2 linked regions of the Caenorhabditis elegans genome follow. The protein of the gene in region 1 purifies or fractionates together with the protein of each later gene. This does not show direct contact. Each region holds a gene or a part of one and is shown on either strand. Other genes may lie near its edges.

Region 1 (10,498 bases):
GTGAGAGCCATTCGAACGAGGAAAACTGAACAAGTCCGTATGTAGCAGATAGTCCTTGAGCTGGAATGTGTCCTTTCCAAAAAGCATGAGCGCCTTCTTCTCGTGTAATCAAGAATATTGATTGCATTACACCCTAAAATAATATTTTTGAATTAAAATTGACAACAAAAAAAATAGTTTTACCTTATATTTTCCAGATTTCTTTCCACGAATCGGCTCCTCCTGGAGTTGAAATCTAATCTTGAGTACATCTAGTGGTTGAATAATCATCCGAGTGACAATTCCACTTGCAAGACCTGCTTCACTGTACTCCGCGGAGGTTAGCGGCTCATTTATGGCCTCCGGATGATAACCAACCATCGTCGAGTTCGCATTCGTGGCAGATCAAAAAAACATAAAGCTGCATAACAATCACAGAGAAGAAGACGAGAAGAGATTTAAAGACGAAGACAACAATATCAAAATATGAACGAGAAGGATAACAAATATTATGTGAATGAATAGTCTCAGGGCCTTTCACCAGTTTTGCATGCGCTTCGAGTAAAAACCAACCTATATCATCATTTGAAATCTGAATTTCCGTTCGAATTTGTGAGAGGAATGCAATTGGAAGTCGTCGAAAAAGCACATAAGCCACGTAAATGCAGAAAACGGCTCCGAATTTGAAATAATTGGTTGGAGACGTCGCCATCAATGATGTTCCTCGTGTTCCTAGGGCAGGTTTCTTCGTTTCATTGGAAATTGTTTTCAGAGAACAAAATGTTATAGAAAGGAAATGATTAAGCAAAAAGGAATGGTATTGAACAATTAGGGCAATTGTTCAGAGGGAAAATGACTGTTTGATTTTTAAGATGTCAAATAATGCCTAGAAATCGTTTTAGAGAGTGTGGGGATACAATAGTGGATTGATTTGTTACATTATACAAAAATAAGACTTGGGAAAAAAGTTAAGAAACTTTAAAATGCGTTTTTTTTAACTAAAAATGTAAAAAGAAATATTTACATAATATTAAAAACAAAACCCTGAAAAAAAAACAGTTCGGGCAACATTCTGCATTTTGTCGTAAAGTCTGGTGTTTGCGTACCACTCGAAGTTTGCTCGATTTTTTTTCAGACACCATTTTTTATTTTGTTATCAAAATATTAAAATTCTTTCAATCCCGATTTGAAATATTAGTTTCTAATTAAAAATATATTTAAATTGAAAATATAATTATTTAAGAATGCTTATTGATAAGCATGCCACCACATTGAAGTAAATATTTAAACAATCAAAACTTTTTCATATTAAAAACTGTCACCTTTTTTATCGTAATTATATATAATTATAATTACTATTGCAATTTTTCAGAAAATGAGTGCAACTGTAGAAGACGACGAGAATCCACCGCTCCAGAATGCAAAATTATTCGGACTTTTCAAGGTTAATCTTTTGTTTTCTTCCTCCAAACACATTTTATTAATTAATTTTCAGAATCCAGATCCTGGTTTTACGCAAACAGGAATTTCAATGTTCACAAATTTTGTGCTCACCAATATGTTTGTGTATGGAGTGACAGGACGTGCGAAATTGGCGTATGCACTCAGTATGATTTCCATTCCCTGCTCGGTCATTATAAGTGTTCGGTATTAGAATTCCCATTTTGGTTTATATAATAACTTTAACTACTTACAGAGATTCACAAAAAGATTATGATAAATGGAAAGAGATGCGATTACTACGTCTGAAAGGTGTACCAGAACGATTCATGCCGTACAAATGCAAGTACGACTGGTCAGACTATGATTTACGGAAGATTCGGGAAGAGAAATGAGCCGGGTACACTTGATAGGATCTTTACTTTTACAGTTCGATAATCGATTGATAAATAAAAATAATAAACGATGAAAAATTATGCGATGTACATGCGATAGAATTGTCTACTTATTTGAGAAGACTTTGGATTGCTTTCACAGTGATTGGATGCATATTTGGGATGTTTGCCTTGAATTGTGAGATGGCTCGATCACGTGTTGCACTCCATCCGAACAAAGATCTGAATTATAAATTTAAATTTAAGATTTTCAATATCATCTTATTTTCACCTGTAAATTGGTTTGCAATACTTCATTCTACCAACAGCCAACGCGAACGCTAGACTTGCATCAACAATCGGAGACCACTTCGTTTCGAGACCAAGCATCAGCCATGAGAATTTTAGCTCTGCATTTTTAGCCTGATCCAGTTTATAGGTGGCTGTCAACGCAGGCATTCGATCTCCAAACATAGTCTTGTTCACACGAACTGCATCGAGAACAGCAAGCTTTTGAGAATTAGACATCTTTGCGAAGACTTCTCCGTCAGTTGGTGCCTCGGATCCTTCTGTAGTCCATTTAGCGGCAAGATCCTTGCAAGCTTGCATCGGAGTTGAGTCATATTTTGGCTTTGGTGGAAGTCCGGCTTTGTGAAGCCACAAATTCCAGTCAATATTGTCCAGAATAACCTTCTTATCAGTGAATGAATCATAGAGATACTCTTTCCACTCTTCAGTAGAGACAGTTTTATAGGCATATTTTTGAATGTAATCTCTCAGGAACTGTTCAAAACGAGAATTATCACCCAGTGCCTGCTCAATTGTGAACAACAGTGCCGATCCTTTTTCGTATGGAACTGATGAAAAAGCGTCATCTGGGTCAGCATTTCCAAGATTTTGAACAAGTTTTGTATATTCATGATCTGGTCCAAAAACATCATTGACAGTGCGAACGAGAGCTTCTTCGTATCCACTTTCACTTTCAAATTGTCTCTCCAGTTCTCCGTACATTTTACCATGAATCTTTCTCTCCAAGAAAACTGTAAATCCTTCGTTTAGCCAGAAATGTTCCCAGGAGAAATTAGTGACGAGATTTCCAGTCCAACTGTGTGAAATTTCATGAGCAATAACGTTGACGAGACTGCGATCACCAGCAAGAAGAGTTGGAGTAATGAAAGTGAGACAAGGATTCTCCATTCCTCCAAATGGAAAAGTTGCTGGAAGAACAACCAAATCATATCTTCCCCAGACATACGGACCGGCAACATCCTCAGCAACTTTCAGAATTTTTTCAGTTTCAGCGAATTCGTAAAACGAAGCTTCTGCTTGAGATGGCTCGGCCCAGACGGCGCATCTTTCGCTGATTTCCTTCCGTTCCAAATGTCCAACAACAATCGCAAGAAGATACGATGGAATTGAAACTGGCTGTTTGAAAGAGAAAATTGTTCTTTTTCCACATTCAGATGGTGTTGATCCTTGTCCAATAGCTGACATAAGGCAGGTTAATCCAATTGGAACGCATACTTCAGCTTCGTAGGTACTTTTAACCGATGGAGTATCCATGCAGGGGACGATTGAACGAGCATTAATTGCTTGGCATTGAGAGAATAGATAAGGAGCCTGAATTATCAAAGATTTTAGAAAAGTGTACTTTAAATTTAAAAATCACAACTCTATCCGTGGTTTGTTCAGCAGTCAAAAATTGAAGAGCAGCCGCATTATTGCTGGATTCATACTTGATTTCGAGTACTGGCCTATCACCGGACTTCAAGCTTTCAGTTGTGATGACAAGTTTCTGCCCTAGAGCTTGATTGTCTTCCAATGTGAATCCAGCCTTTTTCGGCTCGCCGTTCAAATTCAAGGCGACTGATTGGACCGATAGATCACGAGTGTCCAGAACAATTCTTTCAGTATCCTGCTTAACATCCAACGTAATTGATACATCTCCAGCAATATGCTTTTTCTCAAAGTCAACTTTCCACTTGAGAGCGTAGTGGGAAACAGTGACCTGGAGTTAATTTTAAAAAATGAAAATGATAAATAATTTTATACCTGTTCATAGTTTGCAGCAGTAGAGGGATCTCTCGGATGTGGAGGTGCCATATTCTGAAATTGACAATTAGAAATATTTTATGTTACACTGGTGAGGTGTATACATCTAAAATGGAAAATATTTCAGTGGTATTATCAACCACATGATTGACATGGTTAAAACACAATAGAAATTGGAACGTTTATCAATGAAGAAATAACAATACATGTATGACTAGACATTTCTTATCAGTTTTCCTATAATTATATCGTCTGCACAATAGTCTTCATCAAGCTCCTTCTGAGGAATTAGCTCCAGGCGGAAGAACTTTTGAATATCCTTGAAAAATGATTTTTGAGCCAAATGAGCCTCTCCGATGTCCCTTTCCTCGCTGACCACCATAATTTCCTTTGCATCACAATCATTCAACAAGGTTATCAACGGATCTATAGTGCTGTTGTAGTATACACAATCAATTGCCAGAACCATATCCAGTCCTTCCGGTATTCTGTCCTTTGTCCAGTCGAGAACTTGAACTTTGATTCGATTTCCAGTCAATTTTCGATTTGCTTCAACATTTTTCTCAATTAACGCAAGTCTTTCTGGCAGGTCAGTAATGATGACATCAGCTCCAAGTGCGGCCAAAGCGATTCCTCCAACACCAGTTCCACTTCCAAGTTCCAAGACCTGAACAAAAACATATATTTTTGATAAAAACCTATAAATTCACTTTCTTGCCTTCAAAAGGTTTTGGGTATTTGAAAAAATAGTGAATAGTCATCAGTGCGCTGTCCCAAATCACTCCGCCGACATCCGTTACAGTTTCCTGAATGATTTTATAGAATTTTTTACAGAAATAGTCTTCGTAAATATATTAAATCAGTAACCTGATATATTATAAGCTCATCATGGTCGTTATTAAACGATATTACTCGCGCATATTCTTCACTTTCCGCCATATTCGATTGAGAGAACGAAAAAATTACTCCACTGTCAGTTCTCCACGAGGAGTACACGGCCGAGAAAAGTTGTTCGGGCCGAGACTCTTTTAAGGTTTTGTGGTATTCTCCTTTAATGAACACTGTAGCTTTATCGGATTTGGTTTTTCTGTTTTTCCAGTTTTCATGACATTTTCTTTTCTTTTTTTGTTTCATACTTGTTTTCTTTGTGCCAGAAACGCGCCCCATTGTGAAACAACACGACAAAAAGCTGAGTACAACGTGGAATTAGCATGCACTCAGTTGTTCCAACAGCTTTTGCCATTTCCTAGTTTTCCAAAGCTTTCGAAAATCGTTTTTGCATTCATAATGATGAAAAATTATTGGATAAAGCAAAAGGCGAGTGTTTCGTGTTTGGCATTTCACCGAAAGTTCTCAATTAAGTTCCTGTTCATCCTATATCCTTTCCTCCGAGAAAACCTGCCCGCTGAATGCTGACCTATATCAGTCAGGCGATTATCATTCAGTCTCAACTATATTATTGGTTCACATGGGAACAAAAATGGTTTATTTATTCAACAAGACAGTGGAGTAAAAAAGCGCCACGTCAGCCGCCCTCTCACTCCCTCTCTCTCTCTAATTGTATATGCACTATCAATTATACTCTCATATTTCATTTTCCCCCATTTCATCGAGCTCTTCATCAATTTTTCACTATTTTAATTTATTTTCATAATTTTCAGGTTGTTTCACCACTTCCATCAATGAAGGCGCTGATTCTAGTCGGAGGATACGGAACACGGTTGAGGCCGCTTACACTAACCCAGCCAAAACCTCTGGTCGAATTTGCCAACAAGCCGATGATGTTGCATCAGATGGAAGCGTTGGCTGAAGTAGGAGTCGATACAGTTGTTCTCGCTGTCAGTTACAGAGCAGAACAGTTGGAGCAAGAAATGACAGTTCATGCAGATAGACTTGGAGTCAAACTGATATTCTCTTTAGAAGAGGAACCTCTGGGAACTGCTGGCCCACTGGCTCTTGCTCGAAAACATTTGGAAGGCGATGCACCGTTTTTCGTTTTGAACAGCGACGTAATTTGTGATTTTCCCTTCAAACAAATGGTTGAATTCCACAAGAATCACGGAAAAGAAGGAACAATTGCCGTTACAAAAGTAGAAGAACCATCGAAATATGGAGTAGTAGTTTTCGATCAAGATAAAGGAAAAATTGATGATTTTGTGGAGAAACCACAGGAATACGTTGGTAACAAGATCAATGCAGGTCTCTACATTTTTAGCTCCAAAATTCTCGACCGCATCCCACTGAAACCTACTAGTATCGAGAAGGAAATTTTCCCCGAAATGGCATTCTCTGGAAATTTGTACGCTTTTGTACTTCCTGGCTTTTGGATGGATGTAGGTCAACCGAAAGATTTTCTCAAAGGAATGTCCCTTTTCCTAAATCATTGTCATACTACAAAATCCGATAAACTCGAAACAGGATCAAACATACATCCAACAGCTACTATTCGTGGAAATGTGATGGGTAAATGAATTAATTAGCAGAAATTAAATATTTTGTTCAATTTTTCAGTTGACCCATCGGCTACTGTTGGAGAAAATTGTGTGATTGGGCCAGATGTCGTTATTGGTCCACGTGTGAAGATCGAAGGTGGAGTTCGAATCCTGCACTCGACAATTCTTTCCGATTCGGTATGAGTTGATCTTGTCAGCTAGTGCCGGCCTGTATTTCTACACAATGAGCCAGTGTGGAATCAATTTTTTTAAAATTAAAATTTAGTGATGGAGTGTGGAAAAAGAATTGCTTCATTTGAAAATAGCTTTTATTTCAGTTGAAACTTACCGAAAAAACTTCTTCAAATTATCTATATTCCAGTATTCCAGTAATTTTCAACTCCAGACAATTTTGGAGCACTTTTTTCGATTTTTCAAATTGAAATAAAGTCTATTTTCAATTTTAAATTTTGATTAAAAATATTGATGCCACCCCGGCTCATTTTCTAGAATTGTTGGTCGGCAATGCGCCCATGGTTCAAAATTTATTGTGCTACATAAAATTATTAAATTTCATCAATTTTTTTTGCAGTCAATTGGCAACTATTCATGGGTTTCTGGAAGTATAGTTGGTCGAAAATGTCACATTGGAAGCTGGGTTCGTATCGAGAATATTTGTGTTATTGGAGATGATGTGGTAAGACGACATGAATTCGTTTGTTCTAATTGAAAACTTAAACATTTTAAATTACAGGTTGTAAAGGATGAATTATATCTCAACGGTGCCAGTGTCTTGCCACACAAGTCGATTGCTGTGAATGTTCCGTCGAAAGACATTATTATGTAAAATATATCAATTTTATTGATTCTTTATCGCACTCTTTAGTCATAACTCATTTTACCAAAGTGCCAACTTTCAAACTTGTGATATTTATTGTATTATTTGAATTAATTTAATTATGTGAAAATCAGTTTTTGTTTCCTGATAGGCGGGCTAAAAATCCAAATTTTCTCTTTCCACTTACTCGAAAATCTAAAATCTATAGATTAATCTATACAATCTACTGGGTGATTAATTGTATTCTTCAGGAATTTTATTGTTTTTATTTATTTTTAATCATGGCATGTTTTTCTTTCTCTGTTTTCTTGATTGCGCCGGTTGATTTCTTGTTAAATAAATTATTGTGGTTATTCGTTAATCATAGAAAATTGCTTGGTAAACGCCAAAATTGAAAAATATTGATGAAATGAAGTTTATTCCCTTCGAAAAAAATAATTGGCAACTCCAGTCTCGATAAATGAGCACATCTGGCTCATTAGAAAAGGAAGACTGGCTCGATTTGGGTGATCTTAACAATGCTCCAACATTTTCACTGGAAGATGCACTGAATGATGTAATCGATATAAAAATGATAAAGCTGAAAGTAAATCTATTAAATTTCAGACAGAAAACCTGAGTGATCCGTTTTTGGATGAACAATTCGCAGTTGATGGAGAATTCGGATCAGTCTCTAATTTGACAGAATCGACTGCACACTCTCCAGATTCACACTCTCTGACATATAAACTCGATTCAGCGTTTGTAATTCAACCACATCGTAAGAAAATAGACAAAAAAACGAATTTTTAAGATTTAGGACTCAAGGGTCTCGACACGACTGAAGAAAGTGCGTGCGCCTTTAAGGAATACTGTCGTATTCTTTCATTGTTTTTTAAAAAGTTTTCGCTTTGTTTTTTCTAGAGTTCTTTGCATATTTTCAAATTTAATGAAAGAGGAAGTAACCCAAAAGTACTGGATTTAAATTAAATTTTAAAAACATTTTATTTCAAACTTTCAAAAAAAACCAGAGCTTGCTGAAATCTGAAATTTTGCCAACTTTTCTTTGCCGCAGCAGCTGGAATACATTTTTTATTCTATTATCACCTTTATTGCATATTTTGATAGTTTATCTCGCATTAAATCGTTGGTTTAGGCACATTTCGAGGATATCTCAATCAAAAATAATCGAAATTGGATGTTTATCGGCTTAAAATGTGCCTGAATACACGAAATGTTTATAATGTTCAAAAAATTTGCCATAAAATGGTGATATTTCAATGAAAACTGGCTACCAGCCACCACCACGAGAACAACGTTTACGATCTTTCAGCAAAATGTTATCTTTTTTTTCGAAATTTTCAGACATTTGGGTCATTTTTTGACTCTTAAAAAACGTTTTGGTCGTCTCAAGATCCTAATTTTTTTCGCATCTTTATAATATTACATACACATAAAATTCAATATTTTGTTCAGAAGTAATATCCCATCAAATTCTCTCAAATGAAAAGAAGACTGGACGAGTGATTGCTGTTGCTGAAAGAAATGGATGGATCGCAGTGGTCACAAGTAAAGGACAACTGCTTCTTTTCGATTTAAATGGAAATCTTAATCAATTTCATCGTGGCGATGAGACAATGGGAGGAGCAAGCTGTGTGACGTTTTCGTTGGATGGAAAATTTCTGGCGATTGGCTTGCAGAAAGGAGCTATTAAAGTGGGGAACTCAACAAAAAGTTAAAATTTAAATTTAAAAAAAATTATTTCAGATAATGACCATCGACAATAAGCTCTATCATATGATTGACGAAGGTGGGCAGCCTGGACAGGGAATTATACAAGTTATCTACACAAAAGACAATCACACTGTGCTGACTCTCGATAATGGTGGAAGTTTTTACGAATGTACAATCAGTAAACCTTGGCTTCAAAAACGAAAAGATAAGCTAAGATGTCACGTGTCGGGATGCAATGGAGAGGTTATCTCGATGAAAATGATGCCTGGAGATGTTATTGCACTTTTATCAGTTCATAGGCTAATTTTCTATATTCTGAAACCTCGAGGTCAAATTCTTGGCATTTTCCCTATCAAATTCGAATACCAATTTCCGCCTGCCTGCTCATTCTGGCTAGGAACTCCGAAAACAGCTATCAACTCACCGCTAAACTCTCTTTATTCAACAACTTTGAAAGACTTCCGAGTTTGCATAAGTCGTGGAAACAAGTTGGCAATTCTCAGAATACACGCGAACAACTTTTTCACCAAATATGTAAGTTTAGAAAAGAAAAAATAGATGTAGTTAAATACTTACTACTGAAAATTAAATTTGCAGCGACGTGCTACCGTAATCCGACAACTAGAATTACCATGCTCACTTGTAAATATTCACTGGATGAGTAATCACATGATTGTTGGAATCGATTCATTTGGAGCCGTTTGGCAAATTGATCCTGAAAAGGGGACAGCGAAAAAACAAGATATTGAAGATCTTCAACTAGTCTTTTCAACACCAATTCTTAAAGGATCAGCAACAGGAGGAAGAGTCAGTGAAGCAGTAAAAGCTGTTGCAGAATTCGCATGTTATCAATCTGTGACGTCAGCAACATCTACTTCAGAACGACTTATCGTCTTGGCTCACGATGGTCTCAAATATTTGGAGAAAGTTCATGAATGGGAGCAATTAGAAAGATATAAAGAACGAAACGATGTGATTTCAGCATCCCTTTATCTATTGGATGTCTGTCGTGATAAAGTACGAGCCAGTGAGATGTTCAAACGAGAATCACATAGTCTTTTAGCTGAAAAAGCGCACAGTCTTCTAACCGAAACAGTAGCAGGAGTCGGTGGAGGTGCATTGTCAGATCTGTTGGCTCATTACAGAAAATATATTCGAGTTCTACTGAAAGTCTGTATCACTGGACGACTATTGGATTTTCTTTACATAGCTTGTTGGGATCGACTATCTATGGATTCTCTTTCGAAAACTGTATTCTTGGATCATCTGGATGAATATGTTCTCGATGGAGCTCTCATTGACCCTCCACCTCCACTTGTCAACGAATATCTACAACATCTTGCTGCAGAAGGACATTTCTCACAGTTTCAGTCAGCAGTTGTTCGCTTTCCAATTCATACGCTTGATCTTCATACAGTTATGTCAATTTGCAAGCAGAATTCAATATATGATGGAATCATTTATGTGAATAACAAGGCACTTAATGATTATATAACTCCATTAGAGGTTAAAAATATATTCAAAATCATAAAATTCAAAATAAAAATCAATGTTTTTTTTCAGAACATGCTGGCAGAAATGCGAACATTTGCACATCGAGACATGTTTTCGGATAGCGAACAAATTCTAGGAAATAAAGTTCTCGTTTATCTAAACTGTTGTCTTTCTGG
Region 2 (9,835 bases), 6.4 Mb from region 1:
CGTCGATGAGATTGGCAGGAATTACAGCTTTGATAACCTAAAACCGAACAATAAATATAGCTGTATTTTTATTAATATTTTTAATTACCTTTTCGATGAGTTCCTTTCTCAAATCATCGAGACTGATATCTGGAGAATGTTGGGTGGAGATAACAACAGTGTGGACGCGTAGTGGGACACATGCTCCTCCTTCCGAAGCATATTCGATTGTGACTTGGGTCTTCGAGTCCGGACGAACCCATTCGAGCTCTCCAGATCTACGGAGCTCGTGAAGCTTCCGGTTCAGCTTGTGAGACAAGAGAAGAGTCAATGGCATCGCTTCTTCGGTTTCATCAGTAGCATATCCAAACATAATTCCTTGATCTCCGGCTCCGACATCGTCACTATCCTTGTCCACGTGGACTCCAGCAGCGATTTCAGGTGATTGTTGTTCGAGTGCAACAAGAACATTGCATGTCTTGTAATCGAATCCTGAAAATGAATACTGTATTTAATCAATAAACCAAGAAAATGAGATTCCTGACACAATGTGATGAGCCAATAGTGTAGAAACGAAATTATATTCTTCATACCTTTCGAGGAATCATCGTATCCAATTTTCTTAATGACGTTTCGGACGAGAACCTGGTAGTCGACGACAGCTTTCGAGGTGATCTCACCGCACAACATGATCATACCCGTTTTAGTCACCGTTTCTGTAATCAAAGTAACCGTTGTAACAGGTAAAGAAACATATTGTTGCGATAAGCTTCAGCCCCGTTTCCCGCATCATCCAACACCCGTAGAGCCTGAAATCAGAGACATGAATAGGCGAAATGCAAAAGAACCACAGTGATAGGTACGAGTTCACTGTTGATCCTTCTGCAAATCAAATTCACAACACAAATATCAATATCATGTTAATTCTGAGGTTAACACGACGCGAGTGTATTGAATCTGACCGCCTGTCTTCCATATCGCCGAATCTCTGAATGTTGTACGGATAATAATTGGGACTTTTGCTCATCGCAGCTCCATGTTGTTGTTGACATTTCGTTGGAGGATATCCAAAAGTCCTGAATCACTCACCACAAGCAACCTTAGCGTGAGGGTCTTGAGCCAGATGAGCGTCAAGAACAGCGTCCGAGATCTGAAAAACAAACATGAGAATGATAGACAGCTGCTTTCGAGCACGTGGGCCAATTTTCTACGCTTCGGAGATAACGTTTTGTTTGAAACTATACACATTTTGTCCCATAACTAACTTTTTACGAACTTGACAGATTTTTTTTTTCAACAGTAGCGTATTTCCAATCAAAAAATTTGATGGATTTGTTTATCTGGAAAAGACGATTTCTTATCAAATATAACTTACTTGGTCACACATCTTGTCGGGATGCCCCTCGGAGACAGATTCGGAGGTGAAAAGGAACTTGTGTTGCGGCATTTTATTTCGTTGATGGATGTTTGAAAGCGTCCGTCTGAAAGAGCGATGATATTTAGCTCAAATAAATAAAGGAAAGCGAGGAAGCGGAGGTGGGTTGAATAGAGGGCGGAGCGCCACGCAACAAAGAGAGACACAATACTCTGCGTCTTGTTGGAAACACGTTGCTCTAAAGTATAGTTTTGAGGGCGTTTTTTAGATTGCAATAAAACACAATTTTTTTGCGAGACAAGTGTGAATATTAGCCCGGAAAGCTCTACTTTTATACCATGAAGGTTGAACCTAGATCATCAGAAAACTACAGAGATTTAGAGAAAAAGGGAGCGAGAATTTTCGAAAAAAGAAGGATCAAAACAATTCTAAGGGCAAACCGTTATCTAAGGATGAGGAATTATGAAACACGTGTTATTTGAAACACCACAATAATATTTATATAAATATACGATGTTTAGAAATAAGAACACTGAGGAAGTTTTACTGTCATATTTTTGAAGAACATAAATCGAGATAAGGAAAAATATATAAAAGTCTTAGAGAACAAGACAGGCGACGTTTACAATCTAGAAAAATAAATGTCTAAAACTTTCGAAATATGCGTTCGAAGATTGTACAGATGAACCGGGAACACGGACAAAAAATCTTCGGAATTGAAGTCTCGCTGAACCTTATTGAAAGCTTCAGCAGATAAAGACAACTCACTTACACTCTTCGACGATGAAACGGTCAATGTTTTTTTTAATGTTATGCACTCCGAGAAATTTTGATAAAATTTCACGTTTTCACGTGTGGATATAGCCGAGTTCACTATGTTATCACGTTTTTACTCAATTCTTTTTAAAAGTATTATTATTGCAACAAGATCATTCCCAGCCTATACTATTGTGCAGAACATCGTTTGCAAGAAAAAAAGCTGTCGAGAGGGCAAAATCGGCCTGAACAAAGTTATTGCAAAACTTTGACATACTTTTTTATGTTTGATCATACGATTTTCATCGCTCTCCTCAAATTCATATTTGTTTTTATTTCCTCTAACAGTGTAATTGTGCTAATGGATATATGATCATGAAACTATTCAATTTGCAGAAAATCAATAGACTTTGCCCTTTTGTAAAAGCGCAGAAGCTCAGTTTCCACAACATGAAAAAAGCAAATACTCTAGACTTTAGGAACGGATTATAGTAGCCATTATCAGTAATGTAAACTTTAAAAAGCAAAGGAATCAAGAAAACAGGTTCTAATTTAGAACAAATAGCAACTTGGTAAATAAGAATTGGCCTTGTACTTTTAAGTTTGTAGTCTCACTTGCTTTTTGTCATGGTGTTTTGCTCAATTATCGAGAAACTGTAAGAATGATGAAACTACTTCCAAAATGTTTAATCGTATTTAACAAACACGTGGGTTAAATAGAAAAATAAATTATATCTCAAATAGAACAGTGATTTTTCACTGAAAAAAACGGATTTTAAAGCCTTTTTAAACCTAATCAAGCAGAAAAAACAATTAATACGATATTCGATATTTTTCCGTAACTTTTCTTGTTAATTCCGATATCTAGGAATCTCATATCTCGATTATTTCGATCTATTCATGATAGGGGAAAGCTTTCAGATATTTCCAGTTTCTAATTAGCGAAACAGATCTAATCTAGAACATTTATCGCCATCCGTGAGACAGCTGTTAAATTCTAGTTTAAGGATCGGCTAAAATTCGAATAAAATGCGACGAAAATTCAAAAAAGCCAGCAGATTTATAGAAATTTGCATAGAAAATGAAGAAAATGGAAAAAAGTGTTTTTACAAGTGTCGTAATGTGTTGGGCATTGTACGTGACAGTTGCTCACGGTGTTTGCGGACTTTGACAATTTCTGGATTTTTTGGGCCTTTTTTTTGTGCATTTTTCGCATATTTGTTTCTAATTTTCACAAGAATTTTAATTAAATTTACACGAATATTTTAATTTTTCGCTAAAATAACTGCTCAACAAAGTTCCGAGCCATATATAATCTTTCTCCAGATATTTCTGTAAATGTTCATGTGTTATCCGGATTCTTTGTATTACCAGAAATTTTATTTTATTCGAAACAATTATTTACAAAAGCTATTTGAGTTTGGGAGTATGTGGCTAGTTATCGATTTTCTAATTTTCAGTTTTGGGCTCTATTATGGCTTCAAATGTTTCATTTCAAACATTTCACAGTAGTTTTATTTGCAAAAAATAATGTTTATTCAACTTGATCGTTTTGCTACGAGGTGCTCCGCCTCTTATTCGTTCCTTCTTCCCTTTCCGTTTCTATTTATTAATCCAAACCGAACCACTATTTTCAGACGAAGTGTTTCAACCTTACAACCAAACAAAATGTCGCAACACAAGTTCCTTTTCACCTCCGAATCTGTCTCTGAAGGGCATCCTGACAAGATGTGTGACCAGGTAAGTAACCAACGAAACATTAATAAGGTGCCAGGTTTTTTTTAGTTTCATGGTTTCGAAAATGCGTATATATTTTTGATGTCAGCCATTCTTCGCGTCATTTCTCAAACGAAGATTTCTATTTTCAGATCTCGGACGCTGTTCTTGATGCTCATTTGGCTCAAGATCCTCACGCAAAGGTTGCATGTGGTAAGTGGTTCAGGACTTCTTGATATCCTTCAGCGAAAGTTCAACAACAATATGGAACTGCGATGAGCAAAAGTCCTAATTATTATCCCCTAACAACGTTCAGAGATTCGGCGGAAGACATGGAAGTCAGGCGGTCACATTCAGTACACACACATCGTGTTAACATGATATTGATATTTGTGTTGTGAATTTGATTTGCAGAAGGATCAACAGTGAACTCGTACCGTTCACTGTAGTTCTTTTGCATTTATCGCCTATTCATGTCTCTGATTTCAGGCTCTACGGGTGTTGGATGATGCGGGAAACGGGGCTGAAGCTTATCGCAACAATATGTTTCTTTACCTGTTACAACGGTTACTTTGATTACAGAAACGGTGACTAAAACGGGTATGATCATGTTGTGCGGTGAGATCACCTCGAAAGCTGTCGTCGACTACCAGGTTCTCGTCCGAAACGTCATTAAGAAAATTGGATACGATGATTCCTCGAAAGGTATGAAGAATATAATTTCGTTTCTACACTATTGGCTCATCACATTGTGTCAGGAATCTCATTTTCTTGGTTTATTGATTAAATACAGTATTCAATTTCAGGATTCGATTACAAGACATGCAATGTTCTTGTTGCACTCGAACAACAATCACCTGAAATCGCTGCTGGAGTCCACGTGGACAAGGATAGTGACGATGTCGGAGCCGGAGATCAAGGAATTATGTTTGGATATGCTACTGATGAAACCGAAGAAGCGATGCCATTGACTCTTCTCTTGTCTCACAAGCTGAACCGGAAGCTTCACGAGCTCCGTAGATCTGGAGAGCTCGAATGGGTTCGTCCGGACTCGAAGACCCAAGTCACAATCGAATATGCTTCGGAAGGAGGAGCATGTGTCCCACTACGCGTCCACACTGTTGTTATCTCCACCCAACATTCTCCAGATATCAGTCTCGATGATTTGAGAAAGGAACTCATCGAAAAGGTAATTAAAAATATTAATAAAAATACAGCTATATTTATTGTTCGGTTTTAGGTTATCAAAGCTGTAATTCCTGCCAATCTCATCGACGACAAGACCATCTATCATCTCAATCCATGTGGATCATTCATTATTGGAGGACCAATGGGAGATGCTGGACTTACTGGACGTAAGATCATCGTTGATACCTACGGAGGATGGGGAGCTCACGGAGGAGGTGCTTTCTCTGGAAAAGACCCAACCAAAGTCGATCGTTCTGCCGCATATGCTGCTCGTTGGGTTGCCAAGTCACTTGTCAAATCAGGACTCTGTCGCCGTTGTCTTGTTCAAGTATCTTATGCAATCGGAGTAGCCAAACCACTTTCAGTGATGGTGTTCTCTTTCGGGACATCTGCGTTGAACGAAGGAGAACTATTGAAAATTGTCAATGACAACTTTGATTTGCGACCTGGAATGATTATTAAGTATGTCAGCCACAAACTAATATTTTTGTTAATTGTAAAGTTTCAGGGATCTCGATTTGAAGAAACCAATTTATGAACCAACCGCTGAGAACGGACACTTTGGACACAATGAATTCCCATGGGAGCAGCCACGTCATCTTCAGATTGATGTTGAACTTCTTAAAAAGATTGGAGGAAAAACGATCTCAAACGGAAATGGAATTGCCCATTGATTGTACAATGTCTGATTCATTTGTTGTTTTGATTGTTTCTTGTTTTCTCTAATAACCATTGTTTTATTCAGTTCTAATTGCATTTTTCTCTTATCCCATCCTCACTTGTTTACCTGTATTTCCGCAATATCCTCGATATCCACATACTTCAGATTTCAAATCCCAAATTCCTCCCCAATTTCTTCAAATAATCTATCTATCCCCTTTCCTTTTTCAATATAAGACCTTATAAAAAATCATTTATTGAGAATAATTTTTGTGAAAGAAAATTGAGCGAAGACGAATCGAAATGAGGCACGAGTAGATGGAGTTTGGGAATGACGGATAATATTCAAAACGCAATACTGCTTCGGTAACGACGATCTTCAGATGAATGCTGCTGCTGTTGCTTCTGAATTCGATAAATTCGACGTTCAGCAGGACCGCCAATCTCTTTCGTGTGGATTGAGAGTGGGGAATAATCAGCCGGTGGGATTTCAGACGTCGTCAGTAATTGATGACTGGATCGTGACAGGAATGACTGGAAAATATCTAATTATTAGGAGTTCAAATTACAACTATTACAGAAACACCACAAAATTCTACGCGCAAGATATCTCGTAGCGAAAGCTACAGTAAAAAATCCTAAAATTACTAATACTATAGCGCTTGTGTCGATTTACGGGCTCTTTTTGGCATCTTTGATTTATTTATCGGTAGAATGTTAAACAAAGAATGAAATTAATACGAAGAAACGAAGGAAATCAGGTCAGTAAATCGACACAAGAGCTACCGTAGTCATTTAACGAATTACTGTAGTTTTCGTTACGAGATATTTTGCATGGTCAAATATGTGGTGCAATACGCATTCTAAGAATTTTGTGCTTCCGTAATAACTAACCGGCTCCTTCCGATCATTTCTTCTTGCTTCAATCTCGAAAGCCGCAGTCTTTTCCAGCACACTACTCTTCCGTCTGTTTCTCTTCTCATCGTTCTCCTTCTCATTATCACTTGGAACTGGTGGAGGATCCATTCCGAAGTAGAATTCAGGAAGACTATCGATTCCTGGAATATTATTATTTAGTCAAAAATCATCGAAAACTAAAAAAAAACCAACGTTTTGATTCTCTCTTCAGTTTGTCCTCTTCCTCATTAACCCATGAAAAATCAATTTCCGATTGATCACATCTCATTTGTGACGTGGCAATTGACGAAGATCTCGAGCCATATGATGGTTGACGACGGATTATTGGTTGAGCATATGTTGCATTTGAATTATTCAATGTTTGATTATGTTGAATCCGTGATGACGTTGAAGAGGCTGTCTGGGCTGCAGTTGGTGGTGCTCTTTTTGTGGGCTCCGACACCTGTTGCTCCACTTTTTCACTTCGCTCAACTTTTACTTCTATCGTTTTTGTGATTGGCTGGAAAAGTAAAAACATAGGATTCAATAAATAGTATTGGGGAAATTTTTAAATCTTACAGGTTGTGGAGACTTGATGACCTGATGATGCTGAAGTTGCTGGTGATTGTGGTGATTGTGGTGATGTGGTGTGCTACTGTACATTGGTGGCGAGATAATGTCTGAAGTTAAAGATGTGTTCCAAAAAAAATCTTTTTTGTTCAGAATCTGTAATTTTTCTGGTTTTTAAAAAAGTTTCAGATATCATATTTTTCCTATTGGAGCTTGCACTGCTTCACTTTAGCGGCTCATATACGGTCATTTTTAGTTTTATGAAAACAAATTAAAATATAGAAGAATATTTTTCACGTGCTTCGTCCGTAAAAAATTCTGGTAAAATCAAAAAGAACCGAGCTATAAAGCGTCAAAGTGGAACAAGACCAATAAGATTTCTCATTTTTCTATTAAAAAATAATTTCGGTTTCACAATTGTTATAAAATTTCCAGTGAATTCACGTTTTATTCACCTTCTTTTTAATTTCTCAAATCTATACCTCGTTTTCCTGAAGAAATGCTAGATGTGTTCCATGGATCTGAAGAATGTCCACCTTCTTCTGATGATGTCATTGGGGACGATGAAGCCAGCGAGCCGTTAAGTTCGGCTCGGCGGTTGGTGCTTCTGAAAATTGAACATATATTTTATAGCACTCAAATTGGTAAATGTTTTGCTGTATTGAATTCAAGAGACTGAAATTTTTTAGTTTACAGAGTATTTCTACAAATCTATATTACCTTTAAAAAATTAGAAAAGAAAAAAAGACCTCAAATTATTTCCACAAAATTTGAGAACTGACAGTTTTTTGATAACTATTTTTGGTGGAATTAGAGCTGTTGGAAATTAAAAAATTTGAGGAATTTTTTTGCAAAATAGTTGATAAGATTCTATGAAATATTTGTTGATTATCACTATTTGGAATTCATGAAAAAAAGTTTTGGAATATAATTTCAAAAAATTATTATTGCACCAAAAACGATCGCACCACAATCTTGTGCAAAACTAAAACAAGTTGTTTCAATGAAATTCCCAAACTTGAATAAAGTAACTCACGAGTAATTATGCTTCACATATTGGCTCTGTGTTTCTCGTCTTGTTGGTAATCCTCGTCGCTCATCAGAAGTTCTCCAGTCACGTTGACGCATTCGAACGTCGATTTCAGGTGCTTCGTGCATTCTGGAAATTAATCGATTAATCGATATATGTATACATCTTGTGCATCCTAATATTAAACTAAAAGGCATACAATGAGTAGGTAATTTGTTTAAAACCGTAGCTATAGTTTTATAAAGTCCAAATATCATAATGAAACATTTCAAAATAATTTCAAGCTGTTTTAATTTGAAGTTTTAAAAAAGTGGAAACAATTTAGTTTTCACCTGTAGTTATTTCGAAAAGTCGTTCAAAAATAAGTGGTTCCAAACGAAATTTATACATTTTTTGAAGCTTTGGCATTTTGCCAAAATGCTGTAGTTGTTTTACCGCAATTTATAAATTCGAACTTTTTTTGAAGTGTATTTTTTTTGGTAATTTTGGACTATTTAAGATCTATTTAAACTAAATCCTCACTGACGATAGTCCACATTTAACCCTTATTCAGAATATTCAAGTTTTGCAACCGGAACTCTAAATTGCTACAAATTGGGAGGATCTATTTGACAATTGAGTCCATTAGCAATACAGTTGTTTTTTCCCTTTTTTTCATGTTAAATCCATCACCCATTCGAATTTCTTTTTAACCGTCACTTTCTCGTTTTTCCCGATACATGTTTTGTTCGACATTCATCCAGTTCTTTTTCACTCATTTTCGGTCATCTGTTCCTCCCGAACATCCGGTGAAAAGAGGAAAGATTTACAGCTGAGATTAGCGTGAAGACATTTCAAATGGGTTTTTTTTTGTTCGCTGGTGAAAATGGCCTGTTTGAGGCTTTGAAGATTTGAGAATTCTTTTTTAGGGAAACCGTAACGGCGAATTAACCTTGAACCTCGATCGTCTGGGAAGAAGGATTATGAAAAGTAAATCCAAAAAAAAAATTTCATGGTAGGCAGGTTGCATGCCTTTGTGCCTGCTTTACCTCTACCTTTTTCTGCATCTAAGCACTAACACAGATGCTGAAAGGTGGACTATATAGAGCTAAACTGACCTGTGTTAGTGCCTAGAGAGATACCATAGTGAAACGATTTTTTGAAATTTTTGTCTATTATAAAAGTGGATTTCAAATTAGAGCATATTTTGCTTCCACATATTAACTATTTGTTGAAACTGTGAAAATTAAAAAAAAAATTTTTTAATTTCACGCAAGGCTTGCACGTAGGCACAAGGCAGGCAGTAGAAAAGACAAGCCCCCAATCTTTACAAAATCCATGCACTACTATATTTCCACATTCTTTCTTTCTCTCTCTCTACCAATTAGTGGGCATTCTCAACCACTCTAATTCAAAAAAAAACGACTCATTCCCGCAAAGGGTCATATTGTTCCTTAATAACCCCTCCGCCGTTTCTTCCCCTAAACCATACAATCAAATGGTCCCGTTCTCCTTGTCGATTCCTTCATCTTAATAGTGCGTGACCCATGACCCGGAACACTTTTGTGTTATAATTGCAATTTAGAAGAGGTGAAGGAGGAGATGGAGGTCGGATTAGGATGAGATGAAAAACCAGTAGAGCAGAGACAGGTGACAATTGGAAATATTGGAATTATTATAGAAAA

What was found.
Region 2: the proteins of tag-335 (region 1) and sams-3 fractionate together in Caenorhabditis elegans (co-fractionation; one large-scale study listed by BioGRID). This does not show direct contact.

Annotation. Positions count from the first base shown.
Region 1 is NC_003282.8:12,273,061-12,283,558, reverse strand, and holds tag-335 (Mannose-1-phosphate guanylyltransferase catalytic subunit beta), read left to right. Parts: upstream 1-4,964; 5' UTR 4,965-5,162; intron 5,163-5,506; 5' UTR 5,507-5,527; coding exon 5,528-6,308; intron 6,309-6,356; coding exon 6,357-6,475; intron 6,476-6,869; coding exon 6,870-6,974; intron 6,975-7,031; coding exon 7,032-7,124; 3' UTR 7,125-7,469; downstream 7,470-10,498. Other genes in the region: hpo-12 (Mitochondrial thiamine pyrophosphate carrier), read right to left, coding at 1-133, 184-360; C42C1.19 (Major facilitator superfamily (MFS) profile domain-containing protein), read right to left, coding at 553-691; C42C1.12 (PAP2_C domain-containing protein), read left to right, coding at 1,355-1,423, 1,475-1,626, 1,676-1,814; Aminopeptidase ltah-1.1, read right to left, coding at 1,925-2,036, 2,086-3,413, 3,463-3,801, 3,846-3,896; Protein-lysine methyltransferase vkmt-1, read right to left, coding at 4,060-4,512, 4,556-4,651, 4,713-4,784; vps-8 (Vacuolar protein sorting-associated protein 8 central domain-containing protein), read left to right, coding at 7,576-7,671, 7,722-7,875, 8,571-8,809, 8,862-9,362, 9,426-10,334, 10,392-10,498. UniProt on the Caenorhabditis elegans protein: Catalytic subunit of the GMPPA-GMPPB mannose-1-phosphate guanylyltransferase complex. Catalyzes the formation of GDP-mannose, an essential precursor of glycan moieties of glycoproteins and glycolipids. Can catalyze the reverse reaction in vitro.
Region 2 is NC_003282.8:5,844,910-5,854,744, forward strand, and holds sams-3 (putative S-adenosylmethionine synthase 3), read left to right. Parts: upstream 1-3,747; 5' UTR 3,748-3,778; coding exon 3,779-3,850; intron 3,851-3,895; exon of another isoform or gene 3,896-3,930; intron 3,931-3,978; coding exon 3,979-4,039; exon of another isoform or gene 4,040-4,408; coding exon 4,409-4,531; exon of another isoform or gene 4,532-4,632; coding exon 4,633-5,015; intron 5,016-5,066; coding exon 5,067-5,476; intron 5,477-5,522; coding exon 5,523-5,688; 3' UTR 5,689-5,934; downstream 5,935-9,835. Other genes in the region: sams-4 (putative S-adenosylmethionine synthase 4), read right to left, coding at 1-37, 89-471, 573-695, 1,069-1,129, 1,355-1,426; C06E7.4 (SH2 domain-containing protein), read right to left, coding at 6,020-6,208, 6,569-6,732, 6,785-7,091, 7,151-7,251, 7,624-7,748, 8,178-8,300. UniProt on the Caenorhabditis elegans protein: Catalyzes the formation of S-adenosylmethionine from methionine and ATP. The reaction comprises two steps that are both catalyzed by the same enzyme: formation of S-adenosylmethionine (AdoMet) and triphosphate, and subsequent hydrolysis of the triphosphate.